Linked DNA regions of Macaca mulatta. Each later gene encodes a partner of the first gene's protein in a complex. Links are inferred from orthologs where the notes say so. Each region holds a gene or a part of one and is shown in the gene's direction. Other genes may lie near its edges.

Region 1 (8,274 bases):
TGTCTGGAAATCAGCGAGAAATTTGCACCTGTGTGTGCATGTGCATGTGCGTGTGTATGATGCAAGGACTTGGAAAGCCCTTTTGTTCCTACCTCTCTACTACTGTAGGGGAAGGCTAAACTTGACCTCTTCCCATCTTAGTTCTTTGTTGGGATGGACTCCTGTAACAAAAGACAGACAAGAGAAAAATCAGTTTATAACATGGGCCATGCACTTCACACAGGAGAAACCTGTATAAAAAGCAACTGAAAATGGTGCCTTAGAACTCCACTTATCTTTAATAAAGAGCAATAAATTAGTAGGAAAATCATGGGACGGGACAAGGGAAGTGGTTTTATGCTTCCAAGGGCAGGAAATCACAGAAGGTAAACATATGGGAGGAAACCTTGTTCGCATAGTCCTCTGATGCCATCTCTGGGTTGATAAGAGTCTGGAGTCATCTCCAGTAAAGGAGAATTTTTATCTGTCTAGGAAGAAAGGGGGGAAGATAGAGAAAACTTTTTCTCCATTTGCTGCTTAATTACCTTCAGTTCAAAAATAATTTTTATATCAGAAATGCATATTTAGGGTATATTAGTCCATTTTTACACTGCTAATAAAGACATACCCAAGACTGGGTAATTTATAGAGAAAAACAGATTTAATGGACTCACCATTCCACATGGTTGGAGAGGACTTACAATCATGGCAGAAGGCGAAAGGCAGGTCTTACGGTCTTACATGGCAGCAGGCAAGAGGGAGAATGAGAGCCAAGCAAAAGGAGTTTCCCCTTATAAAACCATCAGATCTCATAAGACTTACTCACTACCACGGGAACAGTATGGGGGAATCACCTCCGCGATTCAATGATCTCCCACTGGGTCCCTCCCACAACATGTGGCAATTATGGAAGCTACCATTCAAGATGAGATTTGGTGGGGACATAGCCAGACCATATCAGGGGGTAACATAGTCTGGTTTCCTTTACTATCCACCTACCCAAGCACTCGCTTCATAGGATCCACACAAAGTAAACTCTTGCAGTTCTCTCATTGTTTCCTGGAGTCTGCTTTTGGTCTCACAGGACTGCCTTAACACTTGTTTTTCAGATGTTTACCCCTGTAGGTCTCTGGACAGATTTGCCTTAGAAGCCCCTCGATGTCACCCTGAAGAGTGGCTTTCAGAAGTTGTGCCTCCTGCCTGAGGGGAGTTCCAGGAAAGGTTCTATATCACCTGTGAGTTTATCTGGGTCACCAGAGGCCTTCCCACCAGAGCTTTCCCAATCGTTTTTGGCCAAGGAGTGTGAGAAGCTAAAGTTCATAACAACTAGAAGTCAGACAGCCTGCTTTAACTCTAACAGGAAAGGCATTCATTGGGGGGCCTGAATATCTTCCTTTGTAAAATCAAAGCCTGAAGACAGGGTTACTTACTTCTGAGGTTCAATCTGGCTCTAAAATTATGCAACAAATGCCATTCCTGTAGCACTTCCTTCCTACCGGGCGAGGTACTAAACTCCACAGGCACCACTTCAGTTCATCCTTCCAGAAGTCCTAACGGCTCAGCCTGGGGAGCCCCATTTTATAGATTGGGAAACTGAGGTTAAGAGAGGTTAGGTAGCTTGCTCAGGGTCATGCTGCTGGTGAAAGAGCTCAGGCTACAGTGCTATGCACTGAGTTTTCTCACTTTCCCATCTAACTGGAGGGCTAAAGGTCAAAGAGTGGTTGGCTCCCTTGCTGGGAGGTGTACAGGAATAATGTCGTCGCTGAAGGAGGGGGACTTCTGAGCCACACCCTGGGGTCCAGGGCTCACAGCCTTAGGAGCAAGATCGTCCACGCACTTCCTGGTTCCTTGGTGCTGCTGAGATATTCATAGGGCAGAGTCTGAGTTCTGACCATTTAACAGAGGAAGAAAGGCCGGTTCGATGAGGTTAACTTACATCCAGCAGCTAGGAATTGGGAGCAGAGGACCTCAGATTCACACCAGGGCAGGAGGCAATGGCCTGGTTGAAGTCTTCACAATTTTTCCAGAATACTCTGCTGCCTTCGTTTGTAAGGATCCATTTCTGAAACCCTGTGCCCTGGCCAGACGTGGTGGCTCATGCCTCCATAATCCCAGCACTTTGGGAGGCAGAGGCAGGTGGATTACAAGGTCAGGAGTTCATGACCAGCCTGGCCAACATGGTGAAACCTTGTCTCTACTAAAAATACAAAAATTAGCTAGGCATAGTGGTGGGCACCTGTAATCCCAGTTACTCGGGAGGCTGGGGCAGGAGAATCGTTTGAACCCAGGAGGCAGAGGTTACAGTGAGCCGAAATCATGCCATTGCATTCCAGACTGGGTGACAGGGCAAGACTCCATCTCAAAATAAATAAATAAATAAATAAATAAATAAATAAATAAAAGAAGCCCTGTGCCCTAAGACCTGCACACTCGCTAGCTCCGCTCAGACATTTAGCAAAGCAGACACCTTCCCAAGCCTGGAGGAAGTGCCCCTGCTTTTTGCGAATCCACAATCCCTCAGCTGCAGAGCTCGACCTGGATGGGCAGGCCAAGGCTGGCTCATATGCATGGCGTGGGTCCAGCCTGGCCCCTCTACACCCTCACTTTCACCTCTTAAAGAACTGCCTATCAACAGAGCAGGTACTGCCCGAAAGGAACACCCTGGAAACTTGTTGGGATACTACTGCTCTTCACAAACGTTTGTGGGGAGTGCTACTAGCATTTAAGGATTGAGGGTGAGCAATGCCAGACATACCAGAACACGCAGGGCAGTCTCCCACGATGAAGAGGCCGCCAGGTCCCCCAGGACTCACATGTCCACCTCAAGTTCACGTGGCATTATCTGAGCCTAGAATCTCAGTCCTGGGGCTGCTTTGTTTCATATAAAAATACAATGTTTATCCAAGGTTTTACTACACACTGCATTTTCTGTGAAGACAATGACCGTGTAAATCAGGCAAAGATCTGTATTTTGTTTGTTTGAAACTTTACCAAGCATTATTTACCATTTTGAAAACTCTATCCCTGGTAGTAACATTGGTTGTCGTGTTGACTGGCCAGCAGTGAGCATCTTACATGCGGCCTCCTGCGGGCTCCATATTGGGTGGCCTCACTGCACCTGCCCAGGCCCTTAGACCACAGCACTGCCATATTCAGGGACACATTATTCTCTTTTATTATGCCTCCACATTATCGTTACAGCATTGTTTTTTTTAATTTTGTGGGTAGGTTATGTTAGCTATACATTTCACTTCAAGGGTAGTAGTAAGGGGCACATAACAAAATATTTATTTATATATTTTTAAAAAGAGAGTCTGCGAAGTCTGAGAAGTTTTCCCATAAAGGGTCTCCACCAGCCTCAACTCTGAGTACCCAAGGATTCAGTCTCAAGTACAGAAACATTGCAAAGCAGGAAATTTACCTTGAAAGGAGCTATGTACTCTAAGTAGTGATTTACCTGTCTGCTTCCCACACTGGACTGACTTGAGGGCTGAGAGAGCAGGTCCTGAACATCTCTGCTGTACCCCCCAACCGACATCCCCACAGTGTCCAGCACTGGGTTGGGGACTCAGGAAGCATACACGGGACCCCCCAGTGCCTTCTTTCTCGAGGTGTTCAGCACCTGGAACAGCTCAAGAGAAATCCCCAACGTGCCACCCAGAAGGAGCTGAATCTTACTGGGGCGAAGCCTTGAGTTGCAAGGCAGAAGCTCTCGCGATGGGATTTGGGTCGTATTCTGGGTTACAGGAGGAGCTGGGGAGTATGGGAAGCCTCCCACTTGGTCTTTGGTTTTCTGAAAATTCCACCATCACAAGCAGGATGTTAATCAGTAACCGTCCCACAGGGAATCATACTTTGGAATAGCAAATATTTGCTGAAGGTTCTCAGCTGCAAAGCTGAAGCTTTGGTTTCTGCTCTGAATGAAGGACATTTCCAGGACCCAAGGCCACACACTGGTAAGAGGTAGTGGGTTACAGGAGACCTTCAACGAGTCTAATCAGGGAGGGACCGGGAGAGATGGTATCATCTCTGGGTGGGCTCCAACGTGAGGGCTGCGTGGCTGAGCAGTGCAAAGGCCTCAATCCTGCACTCCATGGGGACTGCACATACAGACCAGGAGCTGGAGCGGGGTGAGAGGTGAATTATAGACACAAGGGGATCCTCTGCAGGAAGGAGGCCAAGGGAAAGAGGCTTGAAAGGCTTGGTATTTCACCCACCGCAACTCACTGCCGGAGTAAGCAGGGCTCCCCTTCCCAGGGCTGAGGGGAGGAGGGGTGTGTGCTCTCCCAGGGCTGAGAAGTGGCGGGTGAGCTGGTGGTTGCTTACTGCCCGGGCTCTGTCTAGGAAGGTGCGTCCTCACCATGCTGGATGGTGTCCTAGTCCAGGAGCGCCCCCTGAACTCCTGGCCTAGACTTCGAAGGGTTGAGTAGATGAGCAAAGACCTTACAAAGACCTTAGGGGGTACCTGTTCAGGAGCGCCCAGGAATTACTGGGCTACCACTCTGCAGACTGTAGGACAAGCTTCAAGAACAGGAAGGTAAGACTCAGCATTTGGAAGCGGTGACATCTGGTTGGCGTGCTGTGCTAATTTCCCGACCACTGTGACAGGGAGAACTAACCTTGAATTCAGGAGTATTCTGTGTGGTCTTCATGTAGAAAGTAGCATTAAATGATGCCACGTAATCGTCTTAGTTCAGGCTCCTCTAACAAAACACCACAGACTGGGTGGCTCCAACAGCCATTGATTTTTCACAGTTTTGGAGGCTGAAAGTCCGAGTCAGGGGGCCAGTGTGGCCGGATTCTGGAGGGCCGTCTTCTTGGCTTGCAGATGGCCATCTTCTCACCGTGTCCTCCCATGGCAAGGAGGTGCGGAGGGGAAGTCTGGTCTCTCTTCTTATAACAGCACTACTGCTATCACAGGAGCCTTGCCCTCATGACCTCATCCAAACCTAATCACCTCCCAAGGGCCTCAACTCTACTGCAATCACAATGGGGGTTAGGGCTTCAACTTATGAATTCTGGGGGAACACATTCAATCCATAACAATAAAAGCATGAAACTGGGCTGCGTTTACACTGAAAGAGCTATTTCCCCAACATTTACAATACTTGAGTGACCTATTGAACACAGGCTTGCCATTTAGAGTCAAAAAGAGTTTCCTCAACAGTGTCCTTTGGGAAACACAGTGGAAGTATTTCACTGCTTCTTTAAGGCAGAGGGGAGTGCCGTTCAGACTGCAGAGTGCGGCCCTGAATTCTCGGGTGCCATTCAGCCTAAACAAGGAGCAACATGCTGGGCCCCGGCGCTGGAGGCGGTTTTGTCCCACGCATAGATAAGGACTCAGTCCCTGCATCAGGGAGAAGACGCCTGGGAGTTCCCTGCCTGTCACATTTTGCTGCAGGTGACCTTGGTCAAGAATAAGGGTCTCTGCGGATGGGAACTCTCATGAGGCCCGCAGCATCCACCCTGCGCTCACTGGGCTGGGTGGCCGACCCCATGCAGACCCTCCCAGGGCAGTGGGCCCAGAGAGAGGATGAGGGAGGGCAGGTGTCCTGGGGGTCCTGCTCAGTCAGCCTCTGGGATCAGGCCTGCAGTGTGGCTCAGCACCAGAACTGAGTTGGGACACAGCTAGGTGGCCCAGCCCAGCCCCAAGCCATGTATTTGGATGGAAATCATACAAGTGTTCGGGAGCCAGGCTCTGTGTCCAAGGATGTGGAGGGAGCCTAAAAGGCAACAGAGAAGGGGACAGCGAACGGTGAGGAAGTGTGGCTCCCACGCTGTGCAGCCGGGGGCAGTGAGAGCCGGCAGGCAGCCCAGGTGGCTGGGAGGGCTCTATGAGGCCACAGTGGAGGGAGCCCAGCAGTGGGTTGTATGAATTGCGGGGCCTCCTGCTACCTGGGAGCCGCAGCTATAGGAAGGAAGGAAGACGTCCAAGGAACTGTGTGGCAGAGGTGCAGTGCGAAGAGAATTTTGATCAAAAATCCAGGAAAGCTCCAATACTTTCCCCCTTCCTTGCCTAACAGGCATGCAGGCACTCCAATCCCCAGCCAAACAGGGCACAGGGCAAGGCCGGCCACCCATCTGGATGGGCAGCCTGATGGCCGGAGGGTCAGGGCAATGAACGAAGCAGATCAGGGAAAGGTGTGTGAGGACCCCTGATTCCACCTGCTCAGACCCCCACCTTCTGTGCTGCCTCCTGCTCCCAGAGCGAGGTCTCTTGCCCTAGCCCTCAGGAAGGAGATGGGATGAATAAAAAAGGGGTCAGGACCGAGAGCTGCCTGACAGCTGGGCAGGGAATGGGAACTAGAGGAGGTTTTGCTCTGTGAAATAATGTCCCCTCATTGGGTGAGCAAATGTCACCCACACTTGCTTCAGGTCTCCCTGGGACAGGGCTAACCTACTTAGCCACAGGAAGGAGGCAGGGTCCCTGAAGAAGCTTTTACTATCCACTAAGACACTTTAGGAGGCATTAAAACCATCTCTGTCCTCTTCTCTCCACAGGAAGTCTTGCAGCTGAGGGGAGGCACTCCTTGGCCTCTGCAGCCGACCACATGAAGGTGGTGCCAAGCCTCCTGCTCTCCGTCCTCCTGGCACAGGTGTGGTTGGTACCCAGCTTGGCCCCCAGTCCTCAGTCGCCAGAGGCCCCGGCCCTTCAGAACCAGACCGGCGGGGTAGTGCAGGCTCCCAGGGAGGAAGAGGAGGATGAGGAGGAGGCCAGCGAGAAGGCCGGTGAGGAGGAGAAAGCCTGGCTGATAGCTAGTGGGCAGCAGCTTGCCAAGGAGACTTCAAACTTCGGATTCAGCCTGCTGCGAAAGATCTCCATGAGGCACGATGGCAACATGGTCTTCTCTCCATTTGGTGTGTCCTTGGCCATGGCAGGCTTGATGCTGGGGGCCACAGGGCCGACCGAAGCCCAGATCAAGACAGGGCTCCACTTGCAGTCCCTGAACACCACCAAGCCCGGGCTCCTGCCCTCCCTCTTTAAGGGACTCAGAGAGACCCTCTCCCACAACTTGGAACTGGGCCTCACACAGGGGAGTTTTGCCTTCATCCACAAGGATTTTTATGTCAAAGAGCTCTTCCTCAATTTATCCAAGAGGTATTTTGATACAGAGTGTGTGCTTATGAATTTTCACAATGCCTCACAGGCCAAAAGGCTCATGAATCATTACATTAACAAAGAGACTCAGGGGAAAATTCCCAAACTGTTTGATGAGATTTATCCTGAAACCAAATTAATTCTTGTGGATTACATCTTGTTCAAAGGTACTTTGATAATATTCTGCTCTCCCAAGGCCACAGGGTCCTACAACTGTCTCTCCCTTTCCTTCCGTTAGGCCAGCATAGGGTTAACGCTAAATGATTTTCTATGAATGTGTTTTCAGGTTTCAAATACAGGTTGATACACATATTGAACAGTCACTTGAGGTCCTGCCCTGGCATCCTATGTGCTTGTAGTCCTTATAATTTTCAAAGTACTCTACACAGCTCCCCTCTGATGTTCAGAAGCACAGGGTCATTCCAAAAAGAGGGAGGTGGGGGGATTATCTGGGGGATTTAGAAGTGAATCATTGCTCCTTCATTTTTACTTTTTTGACCAGCTCTCTGCCCTTAGATTCTTATTATAGAAAATAGTGACACTCCACCTACTATAGAGTTAGAGGTTAAATGAGACAATGAATGTAAAGTGCCCAGATGGACTTGGCACATAGCAGACACTGAGTATCTATGCTTTACTTGTTCTTCCTAACTGTCAATCAGCAGGTAGAGCAGGAGTTGTTGTCTCCTTTCTAAAGATCAAAGCAGCTCAGAGGTTAGCCTGATCAAGGTCACACAATAAGTGGCAGAGGCAAAACCCAAACAAGAACCTCCTGACCTCCTGATCCTAGGTTCTGTCCAGCCCTGCCTCCCTAATGGGGTACTAGATATGGGCTGGATGCCACTTTCGCAGAGCTGGCACCAGACTTGCAAAGCCCCGGCAGGGGAAGCCACTTTACAACCAGCCAGGCCACACACCCCAGGGCAGACATTTGTGTGGAGAGTCATGTACCTGCCTGCTGGTGGCCTCTGCATTGTGGGGCCTTCTCTCAGAACCACATTAAACAGTGGGTGAGAAGTGTCACTCCTGCCACCTTGGACTCTGCATGTGCTTGTGCCTGGTGTGAATGAGACAAAGTGGCAGTCAGAGGTGCCAGGCAAAGGCTTTTCTCTAAGCTGGAGCCAACTATGAGGGAAAGACTGTGGATTTTGTTCGGGTCCAGGACAATGAGGGAAGCCAGGGATTGTTAGGAAACA
Region 2 (8,132 bases), on another chromosome or scaffold:
ACACGCTGGCATGTCCTCCCCAAGACCTCCCACCTGGCCTGGTCTCTCTTGTTCCCCTTGGGAACTGGACACCTCCCCGGTGACTGCCTAGGACTCACAGACTCCCCGGTAGGGAAACGTCCAGAAAGCCTCTTGTTGGGGCGGACGTTTTGCATTGACCTAAACCATCGGGTGCTCTTCAACCGCACGGTGCCAGGCCCCACCCCAGCTTGGGCTTGCATGGTGGGGGCGCACGGACATCCCCCGGGTGGGTGACCTGTTCACCAGGCGGTGACCTACCTCACACCGTGGGCCCCCACCCTGGCCACCCTTAGAATCCCCTGGGGGCTTTAGCATGCCTGCATCCAGGCCACAGCCTGGCCCCTGAAATCAGTCTCTGGAGTGAAGCTGGCCAGGGGCTTCTGGAAGCTTCTGGAGCTCCTCAGGGGCTGAGTGGCGGTGGTGTGGCAGGAGGGGCTTCAGGGGGCTCCTCCTTCTCTCCTCAGGTCCAGATGTTGAGTCCTTACCCCGCTGCATCCGGCACTGTCCCTTGGCCTCAAGTTAAATGGCCATGAAAACCAAGTGAACCTTCAGTAAACAGAAAAGACTCCAGATAAGGCCTGCCGTGTGTCTCCCAAACATCCCCTGCAGTTTGCGTCTTGTGTAATGTCCCTAAGCAAAGTTCAACAGTTCTAGTACAAAAACTCCCCCAAAAAGTCATGAGCTGGGCAAAACCGTTCGTAAACAGATGTTGCGAAGTTAGGGAAAATCAAAGTGGACAGGTGTTCGACCTCCCAGAAACGGTCTGAGGAGGGGCCTGTCTCCCAGCGTGGGCGGGAGGGCGTTCCTGGCCTGCCCGCTCTGAGGCCTCCTCCATGGAGCCAGCTGTTGGGCTCCTCGCCAGCCCTTGCTGGAGGAGCGGCTTCTGCCTCGGAACTAGCACGTGTTGGGCTGCATTTCCTAGGCAGCAACGTGGTCCCCACAGCCCCAGAGGTAAACCCTGGACTTGGATTCCCGTTTCTGGAAATCAAAGGTTGAGTGGGGTCCAGAGAGAACTCTGGGGAAAAATTTACAAGTGAAGCCCGCCATCACCATCCCTGTCTGCACCCCTGGTTCCTGCCACACTGGGTGCCCGGTGCCCGTGCCCGCCTCGGGATAGAAAGGAAACCAGAGGCTGCAGAGAGAAGGGCCTGGGGGGTCGCAGCTCAGCATCTGCCGAAGCCCCATCCAGAAATAGGGTCTCGTCCAGGGAGGTGCGGGAGGAGAGGCCCCAGTCCTGGACGCGTGCTCGGTGTTAACGTCTCAGCTCTGTGGGCTCCTGCGCTGCTGTGGCGGGGATTTTCTCTCTGCCTGAACATCTCCTTCTTCATAAGTAAAGGCAAGTGGGTTAAACCCACGTCATCTCCATGTTCACTCAGAATGGGCTAGGCCTGGGCCAGGGGACACTCTGTGACCTGAGACCCCCAGAATCCCCTGAGGGAAGCCCAGCTCTGTTTTGGGAAATAACTGAAGTGGCTGCTCGTGTGAGGTGAGACCCTGAGGACCGCAAGCAGCAGGCGGTCACGGCGGGGAGCAAAGAGGGGGGAAGTGATTCCCCCGAGAGTGAGGGAGAGACAACCTGCAGCAAAGCCCCATCGCCTCCCGCAGTGACTCCTCCGCTCCCCCTGGGAGACCCCTCAAATTCTCCAAACCTTGCTTCCCTCTGCCCTCCTGGAGCTTGGCCATTTCAGCACATGCACTGCCATCCTCCCAGTCGTTCAGCCCAAACCTTGAAGCCATGCTGCCCGACCCCATTCATCATGAATCCCATCAGCTTCCCCTTCGTGAAGCATCCAGACTGCAAACGTGCTTCCCGCTGCATGGCTGCACCCCCGCCCCGTCCGGGACTAGCCAGCAGCCTCCCTTTTGACTTCTCTGGAATGTTCTGTTCTCCACACAGCAGCCACAGTGATCCCTTCAGAGCACAAATCTTTCCATGTCAATTCCTGTTCCCTCCAGTATCTTCCCAACACAGTGGAAAGGAAACACCAGGTTCTTACCTCAGGCTTCAAGTGCTGATACGGTTTGGCTGTGTCCCCACCCAAATCTTGTCTTGAACTGTAATTGCCATAATCCCCACGTGCCGAGGGAGGGACCCCGTGGGAGGTGATTGGATCATGGGGGAGGTTTCTGCCACGCTGTTCTTGGGACAGTGAGTCTCATGAGATTTGATGGTTTTATAAGCATCTGGCATTTCTGCTGCTTGCACTCGTTCTCTCTGCTGCCACCCTGTGAAGAGGTGCCTTCTGCCATAATTGTAAGTTTCCTGAGGCCTCCCCAGCCATGTGGAACTGGGAGTCAACTAAACCTCTTTTCTTAAATTACCCGGTCTTGGGTATTTCTTCATAACAGTGTGAGAAAGGACTAATACAAAGGGCCTACATCTGAAAGCAGCAAATTACAACCCTAGGGCCAAATCTGGCCCCTTAATAGCTCTTATAAATAAAGCTTTATTGGCACAAAACCAAGTGTTCATTCATGATTGCCTGTGCTGCCTCTGATACAATGGTGCTGAGCTGTAGTGACAGACACCATTTGGCCCTTACCCCCTTTCTCCCTCCTCCCTCCCTCCCTCTTCTCCCCTTCCTTCCTTCCATCTTCCATCCTTCTCTCCCTCACTCACTCCTTTTTCTTTCCCTCGTTCCTTCCTGTGTATTCCACACACACTTAGAACATAAGCTGCATTGTGACTTTGTCCCACCCACTGCTGTGTCCCCAGGCTGGGGCTGTGCCTGTCTCACCTCCAACTCACTACACACGGCATGGGTGTCTCCTTCCACCATGCACCTGCTGCCTTTACCCTCCATTCTCTGTCTCCCTAAATATCTCCCAGGGCCCTCTGAGCCTTCACTGTTCATTTCTCTGCCTGGCCTCAAACAGAAAACGTCAGGAGGGAAGCACACAGCTGTGCAGGTCATGCCCCGAGGCTCCTGCTGCCAGCACCTCCCCCAGCCTGGACTTTGGCTGTGTTTGCAGCCCTGTCCCAGTGCTGCGGGTAGGAATGGCAGGCTGCATCCCGCTGCTTCAGGGCCTGGTCCTGGTCCTCGCCCTCCAGCGTGCGGAGCCCTCAGGTAGGCGTCTGGCTTACCTGTCTGTCGTGCCTGTGCTGTGTCCTTGATTCAGTCCACGGTGGATTTGTAGGTGACACTTTTCCCAGGAGCCGGAGGAGCCCTGAGTGCCCAGACTTGTCTTAATTCCCCTGAAAAAGCCGTTTAGGTCTTTATCATTTGGTGACAAGTATTTGGGACATGATGGTGTCACTTGGGGTCCTCCCAAGAGATGCCCAAATGGAAAGAAGCGTGTGTGCAGGAGATTCGGTGGGGAAAGGCCAGGGAGGGGGGAGGGGGTGGGGCAGGCCGAGCCCAGACTGGAGGTGGGAGGGGGTGGGGCAGGCCGAGCCCAGACTGCAATGTGGGCAGAGAGCGCCTTGGCCAGGCCGGCCAGGAGTGCTCAGTCTTGAGTCAGGAGACACAGCCAGGGAGCAGCCACCCTGCCCGCCTGCCACCCTTCTACCACCAGCCACTTCGCTGGAGGAACAGCCACGGACTCCATCCTGACTCTGCCTGCACACGCGTCCAGGAAAGCTGCAAGTCAAACACCCAGCGTCGCTGCTGGCCCCATGGTCTCCCTCTGGAGAGGCTGACCCCCCGCCCCCACCGCCCTGCCCAGCACTTACCGTGGCTGGACTTAGCTGAGCCGTCCCTGCTGTAACCCTCAGCACCGAGAGAAAGAGAGGCAGGATGTGAAGGGCCTGGGCTTTGACCCTCCGGGAGAGGGAGAGAATGTGCTTTGGGGCCCTTGGGCAGGAAGAGCCTCTAGAGACCACAGCCGCGGGCAGACTGGTTTGCCTTCTCCTCCTGGAAATCGCAGAGCCTGCTGCAATGTATAAGTTTCTTCTCTTTGTGTTTTATCAAGATGTTAAATCCTGTGCACAGAGGCAGCACAGGAGCTGATGGCTCTTGGTCCCCAGTTCTCAGCACAATGACCTTTGACCCCAGCTCGGCCTTCCTTCGCACTCGGACCCAAAACCCAGTTGGAGACCTCCCTCTTCCACTTTCCCGACTGAGGCCCGTGGCCTCTCTGCAGAACCTTAATGTATCTGCACTGATCCCGGGGCTGGTCCATTCGCCCAGAGGATGAAGTGCTTGCCTACCTCGGGGGAGGTAGTGGCGGGGTGGTCCTGAGGCTCTCGAAGGCTGAGAGCCTGTGGAGACGGAGGGGCAGGGGCTGGCGACTGGCTGGGGTGGAAGCCAGGCAGTTCTGGAAAGTAGGGCCCTCGGTGCTCCCAGTCACCGTCTTCTTGTCTTGTCTGTAGTATTTCTCCCGGCCTCCAAAGCAAACGACGTTCTGGCAAGGTGGAAGCGCGCGGGCTCCTATCTCCTGGAAGAACTCTTCGAGGGAAACTTGGAAAAAGAATGTTACGAAGAAATCTGTACCTATGAAGAAGCAAGAGAAGTGTTTGAAAATGAAGTGGTCACTGTATGTACCCCCCACCACGAACCACAGGCTTCCTCGTTATTTAGACTTCTGCTGACCCAGGGAGCATCATTTCTCAGAGATTCAGCTTAATTAATGAGCCTATTTACTTACTGATGAGGTTGACACAATCCCAGTTTTACAGATGAGGAAACAATTTAGAGAAGTGACTTAATCCACCCACTGATCCACCCTTACCTACAGCAGGTGAGTGGGGCCAGAAGTCAGCTCAGACCCCACTGGACTTTCTTCAGGTCAGGCAAGGCCCACACACTGATCAGACAGTCCAACACACACGCCGCCCAGCTTGCGGTGACTTTCAGAGAACTTCATGCTTTTAATAGAGACCTTAAAAAAAAGCTTGAAAACAGAAACGTCCTCTCTGGGATGCCACATAGTAAGAAAATCATAATCCGTGCTTGGGATTACATAAATGATTTGCTTCACATGTGACTCTGTGTATGCTCTAAATAACACAAGTAAGAATTTGCTATTTTATTTATTTATTTTTTGTATTTTTTTGAGACAGAGTCTCGATCTGTGGCCTAGGCTGGAGTGCAGTGGTGTGATCTTGGCTCACTGCAAGCTCCGCCTCCTGGGTTCAAGTGATTCTCCTGCCTCAGCCTCCCAAGTAGCTGGGACTACAGGTGCCCGCCACCACGCCCGGCTAATTTTTTTTGTATTTTTAGTAGGGACGGGGTTTCACCATGTTGGGCAGGATGGTCTCAATCTCCTGACCTCATGATCCACCCACCTTGGCCTCCCAAAGTGCTGGGATTACAGGCGCAAGCCACCGCGCCCAGTCTAAAATTGATTCTAAATTAAATGTTGACCTGTTTCTCAAGTATAATTTTTAATGTTTTTAAAATTCTAGTTTCTTAAATACCTATCTATAAGATAACTTATGAAATAGATCATTTTTAATACAACTCAGAGAAATCCTACAGGCATGTGAAAAGTGTAAAAATTTTTCAAAGTATTTTGCCCTAAATTTCATTTTTCAAACTTCTGGTACAGAAAATTGTTTTTCATTTACTACTTATGACATTGTTCAAGTTGTTAGAAGTCCAAATATGATCTTAGGATATGCCATTTTTTATACATTTTCTTTCTAGGCTTCAAGTCTGAATAATTCTCCTAATTTTAGATACTCCTACTCCAAACTAAGCGTCCCCACTCCCTACACAGGTACATATCTTTAAAATTCAACTCGGTTTATGAAAAGTGAAAAGGTGATGTGACTTCTCTATCACATGCTTTTGTGGAGGGTGGCGTGGAGATTGGCCCTAGGAGGGAAGGGCCACATTAGGGGCTGTGTGTGGCGGGTTTGTGCCACGTCACAGACTCCGGCTTTCCTCAAATAGGTGCTGGTAAGCACATGTTGAGTAATTTATCTTACAGATACATCTAGTTACTACACATTTAACATAAACAATTAGGCTGTAAAACAGGAAAACCGTGCATTGTTTCAAACACTATTGTCCCATTAGGTGAATAAAATCAACATTTTCTTACCTTCAAGTTCATCTACAGGAAAGAATATAGAAAAACAAATGTCCTGTTTGTAACACTTTTATGTTTTAATTCTAAAGGATGAATTCTGGAGACGATATAAGGGTAAGCGGTTTCCTTCATCTCCTCAGAAGTATTAATTCCTCGGGATGAGGTGAGGGGTGGGCTTAGGACGCTTCATGACCCCAGGTCGGCGGATGTCAAGCCTTTGGCTCCAGAACCCGTGATGTCTCTCCAGGGAAGGGCGCAGCTCGGACTCTGCCCGAGGACCAGGTCAGGAAGCCCCTGGGCTCTGCCCCCAGGGCCACAGGCAGCGGCCGGTTTATCTTGCCCAGCGTCTGGGTAGTTTCTGGGCACTCTGGGACACAGGCCACAGGCCAGGAGGCCCCCCCAGAGCAGCTCCTCCATCCGCCTGGCTCCTGGCTCCTGGCTCCTGGGCTCCTGGCTCCTGGGCTCCTGGTTCCTGGGCTCCTGGGCTCCTGGGCTCTGGGCTCCGGGCTCCGGGCTCCTGGGCTCCTGGGCTCCTGGGCTCCTGGTTCCAGGTTCCAGGCTCCTGGCTCCTGGGCTCCTGGGCTCCTGGTTCCAGGCTCCTGGCTCCTGGCTCTTGGGCTCCTGGCTCCTGGCACCTGGGCTCCTGGCTCCTGGGATCCTGGTTCCTGGGCTCCTGGCTCCTGGGCTCCTGGCTCCTGGGCACCTGGCTCCTGGGCTCCTGGCTCCTGGCTCCTGGGCACCTGACTCCTGGCTCCTGGGCACCTGGCTCCTGGGCTCCAGGGCTACTGGCTCCTGGCTCCTGGGCACCTGGCACCTGGCTCTGGGCTCCTGGCTCCGGGCTCCTGGGCTCCAGGGCTACTGGCTCCTGGCTCCTGGCTCCTGGGCTCCTGGGCTCCTGGCTCCTGGGCACCTGGGCACCTGGGCTCCTGGCTCCTGGCTCCTGGGCTCCTGGCTCCTGGGGTCCTGGCTCCTGGGCTCCTGGGCTCCTGGGCTCCTGGGCTCCTGGGCTCCTGGCTCCTGGGGAGCCTCATGCTGCAGCAGGGTCAGAACCTGTCTCAAATTTTGGAAAGTGATGGCCCCCATGGAGACTTTGGTTGCGGGACTCCTCCCGAGGGAGTAGTTCTAGGTGGGCAACTGCAGAAGAGCATGGGACAGAAGTGACATAGATGGAGACCCACAGGGCTGGGGGAGGCCTGGGAATGAGTAAGCAAAGAGCTGCAGCCACCACCAGACAAGCATGGAGACAACTGGGCACAGAAGGAAGCGGGAGAGGCCTGGGAGGCCGGAGAAGGGCTGATGGGGCAGGACAGAGGGGGCCACATGCGGACGAAGAAAGGGTGCCCAGCAGAGCGGGAGGCACCGGCAGCCGGACCTAAGTTCTGAGCGGGAGTGTCCTGGGGGCCAGACGACAGCATGGGGAGCAGCACGAGTGGGCTCAGTCCCCGTCCCTGCCATCCCCTGCCCCCCAGCCTCCTCCTGCTCAGGTCCCCGTCTCTGCCACCTCCCCCCATCCTCCTCCTGCTCAGGTCCCCATCCCTACCGCCTCCCCCACCCTCCTCCTGCTCAGGTCCCCGTCCCTACCGCCTCCCCCACCCTCCTCCTGCTCAGGTCCTCGTTCCTGTCACCACCCCCGCCCTCCTCCTGCTCAGGTCCCCGTTCCTGTCACCACCACCCTGACCCCCACCCTCCTCCTGCAGGTGGCTCCCCGTGCATCTCCCAGCCCTGCCTCCACAACGGATCTTGCCAGGACAGCATCTGGGGCTACACCTGCACCTGCTCCCCTGGCTATGAGGGCAGCAACTGCGAGCTGGGTGAGGCCCCAGCCGTCCCCTTCCCCCAGGGCCTCCCTGGGCAGGCAGGCCTCACATCCTCGGCCAGGGTCCCAATGGGCCCCTCTTGGGGTGTAGACACGAAGGTGCCTGTGTGAACCACAATTTGGCTCACCCCAGTGGATTCCTCTCATCCCAATCAGATTCTCCTCTGGAAACCACACCCGGTGGGGCTGGCAGAATTCTGAGTTGCCCCTTCCAGACAGGTCCCCCATACTTTTCGTGGCATGGGCCCCCTCTCCTCCCCACCCCCGCCTCAACCATTCACAATCTGCTCACAGGCTGGGGGTCACACACAGGCGTCCT

What was found.
Region 2: the proteins of SERPINA10 (region 1) and PROZ are in contact, whole or in part, in a crystal structure (PDB 3H5C), measured with the Homo sapiens proteins. The link is inferred for Macaca mulatta from reciprocal best matches to the Homo sapiens genes SERPINA10 and PROZ. Residues at the interface, in NP_001094077.1 of Homo sapiens: Arg88, Lys89, Ser91, Met92, His94, Asp95, His257, Asp259, Lys260, Tyr261, Asn282, Phe283, Lys305, Met306, Asp308, His309, Leu310, Ala311, Leu312, Asp314, Tyr315, Leu316; in NP_003882.1 of Homo sapiens: Cys129, Pro131, Cys141, Leu142, Pro143, Ser151, His250, Met251, Arg252, Asp254, Ala257, Glu259, Asn260, Glu284, Lys285, Asp286, Phe287, His290, Leu291, Thr336, Thr337, Arg338, Arg390, Ser392, Leu393, Trp394, Gln397.

The regions. Positions count from the first base shown.
Region 1 is NC_133412.1:167,566,308-167,574,581, reverse strand, and holds the start of SERPINA10 (protein Z-dependent protease inhibitor), read left to right. Parts: upstream 1-3,791; 5' UTR 3,792-3,935; intron 3,936-3,973; exon of another isoform or gene 3,974-4,516; intron 4,517-6,480; 5' UTR 6,481-6,530; coding exon 6,531-7,245; intron 7,246-8,274. UniProt on the Homo sapiens protein: Inhibits activity of the coagulation protease factor Xa in the presence of PROZ, calcium and phospholipids. Also inhibits factor XIa in the absence of cofactors.
Region 2 is NC_133422.1:107,392,608-107,400,739, forward strand, and holds the start of PROZ (vitamin K-dependent protein Z), read left to right. Parts: upstream 1-2,721; 5' UTR 2,722-3,019; coding exon 3,020-3,089; intron 3,090-3,106; exon of another isoform or gene 3,107-3,217; intron 3,218-3,694; exon of another isoform or gene 3,695-3,894; intron 3,895-4,171; exon of another isoform or gene 4,172-4,333; coding exon 4,334-4,497; intron 4,498-4,692; exon of another isoform or gene 4,693-6,086; coding exon 6,087-6,111; exon of another isoform or gene 6,112-6,583; intron 6,584-7,646; coding exon 7,647-7,808; intron 7,809-8,132. UniProt on the Homo sapiens protein: Appears to assist hemostasis by binding thrombin and promoting its association with phospholipid vesicles. Inhibits activity of the coagulation protease factor Xa in the presence of SERPINA10, calcium and phospholipids.